Canis lupus familiaris: one gene and its partner. The protein of the gene in region 2 interacts with the protein of the main gene of each other region in a biochemical or structural test. Links are inferred from orthologs where the notes say so. Each region holds a gene or a part of one and is shown on either strand. Other genes may lie near its edges.

Region 1 (3,819 bases), on a different chromosome or scaffold from region 2:
GCGGGCATGCACCTCCCCACCCCTCCCCAGACCACCACCCAGTACTCACTGTCCAGGCAGGGCTCACACACGGTCTGGTTGGCTCCGCAAGGCTGGGCCACCCCCTCACCCAGATTGCAGGCTTTGCAGCACTCGCCGCTGTGGGTGTACAGGCCAGTGGGACATGCCTCCTTGGCACCTCCAAGGGACACCTGGGCGGAGGGGAGATCAGAAGGTCAGACTGGCAAGAGAAGCGAGAGGGGATATCTTCCAAGAGATCAAACACCCCCTCCTAAAGCCTTCTATTGGAACCACCTGGGCGGGGATGAGCTCACCACGGAGGCATTAAGCACATCAAAGTTGGCGGCAAAAAAAGGGCTGTGGGGAACAGGGCGCCTCTGCAGGCTGCCTGGGTGTGAGGTCAGAGCCCCGGATGCTGACTTTCTACAGAGTTCATCTTGGGGTTACGGCAACTCCTGGAATCCTGAGGATACACCACATGGGGAAGACAAGACAGCCTGGGACCCAGCTGTGGTCCTTTGGCCAGAACAGGTTCCAGCTCACACAGGGCTGCCAGCTAAGGAGGCAACTGGAAGCTAAACTCTAGCCCAAATGCTGCTTCCCAAGCTGAACACCAGCAGGGCTCTGTCTACACAGAGGGAAGCTTTTTCTAACAAAGGCTAGCAGGCCCTCCTCCGGGTCCTTAATTCTACCATTCCACATACTAAACATAAATGGGAAGTGTCTTGGGGTGCCTAGGTGGCTTGGCTGCTTGTGTATCTGCCTTCAGCTCAGGTCAGGGTCCCGGGGTCTTGGGATCACCCCTCCAGGATCCTGGGAGGGAGCCTGCTTCTCCCTCTCCCTCTGCCCCCACCCCTGCTCATGCTCTCTCTCGCTCGCTCTATCTAAAATAAATAAAAATCTTAAAAAAAAAAATGGGAGGTGTCTGTACTCAAAAACAGAAGGCAGAGGAGTGGGGTCTTGGGTTCGAATCCTGACTCTGAACTGGAGCTCTGACCTGCTCTGCTTTCCCTCTCTGAGTCTTCACCTCTCCTCATCCATGGACACAGAGACCACTCAGGGCCAGAGCAAAGAACCAGCTGATTGGCAAGAATCTGGCACCAAGCAGGGAAAAAGGGATGCCTGTTAGTGACAATGAAAAAGCGGCTGCTCTCACCCCCAGCAGCCCTGCTCCACTAGGGCTTGAATTCCAGCCACCAGTCTTCCCCTCTCCCTGCCCCCATGCAGCCAGTGGGAACAGTGCTGGAACCAGGGGAAAGGGGAGTCAGATTCCTGCCACCGAGGCATCTTTGCTCTTTGCTCATGGATGGAACGATTTAGCACCAGATTCCCTGGGGGGTGGAGGTGGGGGGAGGCAGGGGGGGGCGAGTTCTGGCCGCTTGTTTTATGTTTCTATTCCTTAAAAAAAAAATCTTCTAATAAAACTCCAAAGCTTGTTTCCCTGGCTTCAGACCACGCAGCTCCTATTTGATGCAAGAGGAAGTATGGGGTCATGGGACTAAAGGGGAGTGTTAAAGGTCATTTTGGACACTCTGCTTCCACGTTGGCAAAATCATAACCAAAAATACTCCCTTTCCCTCTAGTCCTTTAAAATCTCCTGAGGTCTAACCAGGGTTTAGCAGAAAGAAGGGGATGGACAGGTTGGATCAGTCTAGGAGGCATCTTGTGGTCCTCAAGAGACCAGCAGGGAGGGTGCAGGCAGCATAACAGTGGGGTCCTTGGGTATTTGCCACCATCTCCTCCCAGGTGGTAGGAACACAGGTCTGGGAACATCTGCAGACCAGAAGCCAAGACGGGGGCCGGGGCAGGGGCATGGTCCCAGATGCAGGCTTTCCACTATGAGGGAGAGCGAGATTCCAGAAGAGTCTGTTTGGATTTCTTTTCATCCTTGAGGGCTCATGCTTCAATGTCATTTCTTCAGGGAAGTGATCCTGTGGCCCCCATGCCTCCCAGATCAGGAGGCTATATATATATAAACATATATATATATATATTTATATATATTTATATATATAAACATATATATATATGTAAAACTCCCCAGATCTGCTGCCCATATATACCCAACATGTATATTTATGAAATTAAGAACATGAAAATACAATGACCTCAATTTACTAGAACTCCAGGCTGGGGAGTGGCACAGGGGACAGGGGGAGACTTTCTGAATAGCTGAATTTCCCAGTAGTTGAGGATTTGCTGCTCTGATCACCTAACTGTGGCTGCACCCCTCTGATTCCAGAACATACCTTCATGGTTTCCCCATGACTCAGGGACTCAGTATTTACACCAGTGATCATACTGGGCTGCAGTGCAGTGAAGCCCTGTGTTCTTTATCCCAAATTACCACACTTTTGTCTCTGAGTTCTTCTGTCAGCCTTTTTTTTTTTTTTAAAGTGTTTCTGTCTCCCTCCTTCCTGTCAAGATATCAGTTGTCAGTTTTCACTGCTACCAAGGCATGATCTGAGCAGCCCCTCCCCTCCCATCCTAAATTATTACATCAAATTTAATCTACAGAAACTATGTCATTAGCCTGGGTGGGAAGATGTCAAATGTGATTGTAGGTAGGATCTGAACCAGGAGGAGGCAATTCTCTGAGTAAAAAGCATGAGCTATACTGTCTTCCTCCATTACTCTGAATCCTGGCTCATCGCTTAGGGCTGGGTGATCTGGGACAGGCTGGAATTTCTCTGCACCTCAGTCTCTTCATCTTTAGGCAATGGTGACAATACCTGCCCCGTGGGATTGCTGTAGGCATCAAATAAAGAAGGTGTTTATACACTTCCGGATCCCTCTTTTTTCTTTCCCAAGGTCTTTCTTGCCTCTTTTGTGGCTTTTTTACTAGGTTCCAGTTGCTGGAAAGCTGAGGGGGTCTGTCCATGGCACTTGAGTGGTCTGTGCATGTCCCTCTCCCTCAAAGCCTGCTCTGCTCCCCCCTCTCACCCCCTTCCCCCGTGGTCCTCTCTCTTCTCCCAAGTCTTGCATTTGGACTCCAGGCCACATAATTAGTAACCATGTGTTTCCTGTGCTTGTTTTATGTGTCCTATTTCTGAACACCCCAGATCTGCTACCTAACAGTCTGCTACTTTGGGGCAATTCTCAGGCTCTCTAAGCATGCATTTTTCCCACCTAAAGCATTGGGTTGATAATATTTACTGCTCAGGGTTGCCCTGAAAATTGCATGAAATAATTGATGCAAGTCTGTCCGGCATATAGTAGGAGTTCAATAAATGTTAGTTATCGAAGAAGTGTTTTGTCTCAGGCTGAGCTACGGAGCCGGAGCCTAGGCGGGAGGCAGTGTGAGGGGAGAGTTGCAGTCATGCCCAAAGAGGAAACCACGTAAGAGGAGGGAGCAGGATAGGCATGAAGAAAGATCCGCCAGAAAGAATCTGAAGAGGGCCAAAGGAGAATGGAAATTGCTTTCCCTGTAGTTAACTAATTAATTAGCAACTAGTTACTAGTTAACAACTATTTACCCAGATTGAACTAAGAGTTTTCCATGAGACATAGTCCATGACCCCCGTGGGAAGTCCCATAAGGAAGAGGAGACATCATTCCACACAGCTACTCCAGAAGCCAAGATGCTGAGGGATGCCATCACCTCCTCTCTGACAACTGGGGAAACTGAGGCTCACAGAAGCAATTCTGCTAAGTGGCTCGAAGCCTGGACTCTGTCACATCCTGTTGGTCCAGGGTGGGGGCAATCTTGGGAGCAAGGAGGGATGACACAGATTCAGGCTTATTGCCTCAAAATGATCAGCTTGTCAAGTGATAAACCAAAGTGCCTGAAATTAACATTTGTTACAACCTATTCATTTC
Region 2 (3,077 bases):
CGTTGGGACCGCTGGACGTTGCTGTGGGCTGTCAGTGGGTGGCAAGAGGGCTAGAGGCCTTCATGTTTTCTCAGATAATGAAGACTTGGGCAGGAAGCCCCTGGGGGCTAGGTGGGGACCAGCCGTTAGTCCTAAGGCAATGTTACCATGAAATCAGATCTACCATGACAGAGATTATTTCATTACCGTTCTTCCAGACAGCATTTCAGGCAAAAGCACATCTCCCCCTAAAAACAAGCCAACCTCATAGGTCTTTGGTGCAAGTCTCCTCCTACTATACAGCGAGTCGCCCCCAGGACCCAGCCTGGGCATCGCTGAGGTGGGGACCTGCTTCTGCTGAGGCTCCATGGACTTCCCCCAAGTAAAGCAATCAAGGCCCACGCATTGGGGCGGTGGGACAGGTAATCCAAGGATTTAGGTAGCTTTGGCTCTGGAATGCAGAGCAGAGTGCAATCCAGCAGACTTCCCTTTCTAATTATGTCCGGCTTAGGCTAATATGTGAACCCAGTCAGATTTCCCTGAAGTTTGCAGAGCTGGCTGGGGTGGGGTGAGAGTTACAGCCAGGGGACGCTGTGGGTAGTCCACCCGCACAGCACAGCGGCCGGGGCTTGCACATGGTCACACTGGGAGAAAGAACTGGAGCGCCGGCACCCCGGATGCTTCCAAAAATTTAATAAATAATGATTTTTTAAAACTGTATAAACTATAAATTACCATGCAGTCCTTATAATTTAAAATAATTTACAGGTTGAGGTAGGGAGGGGCCCAGGAGGGTGTGGAGGGGGGCGCGGGGAGGGTGGGGGCCGGCCCGCAGGTCAGGCTCGTCTCCCGGCCTTCCTGCTGAGCACGCACACGCAGGCCGTGTCGATCCGGATGAACCGCCAGGCAGCCTGCTTGCCGTCCATGGTCAGCGCCTTGACGAAGGTGTGGGTGGTGGTGCAGTAGGAGTTCCAGTGCTTGGAGTCGATGCCCCTGCACCCGCTGTCCACGGGGGTGGGGTCCCGGCACTTGGTCTCAAAGAAGTACTGTTTGAACACACTGTTGTTAATGTTCACCTCTCCCAGCACCATCACCTCCTTGCCCTTGATGTCGGTGGCTGTGGTCTTGTCGCCCACCCACACGCTGACGCTGTCGCACACCGAGAACTCCCCCCGGTGGAAGACAGGGTGGGACGAAGACCGCTTGCTCCTGTGAGTCCTGTTGACGGAGGCGGTGCTGCCGGCCTCCAGGTCCAGGTCCTGAGCGTCCGCAGCCACAGGTGGGGGGTGCGTGCTGAACAGCACGCGGGGCGAACGCAGTCGCCGCTTTTTAAAGAGTTTGGGATCCACAGTGATGTTGCGGGTCTGCCCTGTCACCCTGGCAGCTATTGCCCCGGCCGGGGCGCTGCGGGCTCTGCGGAGGGCTGTGTCAAGGGAATGCTGAAGCTTAGTCCAGTGGGCGTGGGGGATGGCGTGTCCTGCTGGGACATGGCTCTCTGGATGCGGTTCTGCCCGGATGCCGATCAGAAGAGCTGTGATCAGAGTGTAGAACAACATGGACATTACGCTATGCACCTGCCAGGAAACAGAAACAAGGGTTAGTCCACCGGAGCCCAAGGGCAGGGTGACCTTGGAATTCACCGTCCAAACTGGGAGACTTTTGAGAGTGAAAGGGGCTGCTGGCCATAATTACCTGGGACAGTAGGCATCTATCTGCAGGGCTGGCTCAGATGACTGGAGATATGGTCACACCATGGATGGGTAGGCTTTTTCAAGAAGGGACAGAGCCAGGGCACTCCGGGGTGGCTCAGTGCTTGAGCTTTGGCTCCGGTTGTGATCCCGGGATCCTGGGATCAAGCCCCGCATCAGGCTCCCCTCAGGGAGTCCCTGCCTCTTTCTGTGTCTCTCATGAATAAATAAATTAAATCTTACAAAAAAAAAAAAAAGGAAGGGACAGAGCCCCTGAAATTCTGCCCTTTGGCTCCATGTGAACTTGCTAGCACTGTATGCAGAGTCCCTTGAGTGCTGTGCCTGCCCACCTGAGGCAGCTGAGGGCGGGCGGTGTGTGCCTGACACCTGTCCTTAGTGCTGTTTCCTGCCCAGTGGCTTGACTCCCCCGGGGAAGGCAGTGGGAAGGGTTGCTGGGGACTAGTCTGGACGCCTCAGCCCTGAATACACCCTCTTCAGACAGCAGCACTGGCTCAGCTCTGAGATCTGGTGACTCCGGACCCTCATTACAAGTCCATGAAGCATCATGTTTGGTCAAAAAGCATATAGCTCTGGACCATGATTGCCAGCCTATTCAGCCACCAGTCAGCACTCACAAATACCGATGCTGAGGATAGCTCCTTGTTGTGTGAAGTTTTAAAACTTCTCAAGCACATTCGTTTCTAATTTCTCATTAGTCTGTGTGTTGGGTTAGGATTTTTCATCTTTCTTTCATATACAAAGAAAGTAATCCACAGAAAATTAACCAACAGGTCTAAAGTCATCAGTGCCAACAGGACTCGAAATAGAACCCAAAGCTGACCCGTTACTCTGCCAGCCGACCCTTCCTCCCTCCTCTTCACTTGCTCTTTCATTCTTACAGGTACCTTTGCCTGTTATTATTTACTCTTATGTGAGTATAAACCAAATGGCAGAAATCCATCTGTCCCCAAGAGGCAGTGCAAGCCCCTCTGGAGCATGGTCCAGACAGGGCTCCGCACTGCACTAGAGTTGCCCACCAGTGATCACCCCCAGGGCAGCTAACTGTGAAGGCCCCAATCACTACCTGTAGATGGATATTAGGTGTCACCTCCTCTGCAAAGCTTCCCTAAATCTTGGTAGGGTTAAAGGCATCCCCTAGAGGGGGTGCTCAAACTTCCTACTCCATCTCTACCGCCTCCCCATTCCCACAGATCGTTCTGCATTGGATCTGGATCCAAACCTTATTTGGATTCCCAGCTCAGTTACTTGTTAGCAGAGGAAAGTCCCTTAATCTTTCTGAGCCTTCCTTTCCTCATTGATAAAAAGCAGGTGCTAAACACTATTTCATGGGTTGTTGTTAGGATTGAAAGGTGCCCACACACCTACTTAATTCTGAGTCATTCCAATGTC

What was found.
Region 1: the proteins of NGF (region 2) and NGFR form a complex in vitro, tested with the Homo sapiens proteins (2 studies listed by BioGRID and IntAct, with this or other methods). The link is inferred for Canis lupus familiaris from reciprocal best matches to the Homo sapiens genes NGF and NGFR.

The regions. Positions count from the first base shown.
Region 1 is NC_049230.1:25,556,479-25,560,297, reverse strand, and holds part of NGFR (tumor necrosis factor receptor superfamily member 16), read right to left. Parts: intron 192-3,819; coding exon 50-191; intron 1-49. UniProt on the Homo sapiens protein: Low affinity receptor which can bind to NGF, BDNF, NTF3, and NTF4. Forms a heterodimeric receptor with SORCS2 that binds the precursor forms of NGF, BDNF and NTF3 with high affinity, and has much lower affinity for mature NGF and BDNF.
Region 2 is NC_049238.1:53,428,181-53,431,257, forward strand, and holds NGF (beta-nerve growth factor precursor), read right to left. Parts: upstream 1,542-3,077; coding exon 816-1,541; 3' UTR 764-815; downstream 1-763. UniProt on the Homo sapiens protein: Nerve growth factor is important for the development and maintenance of the sympathetic and sensory nervous systems.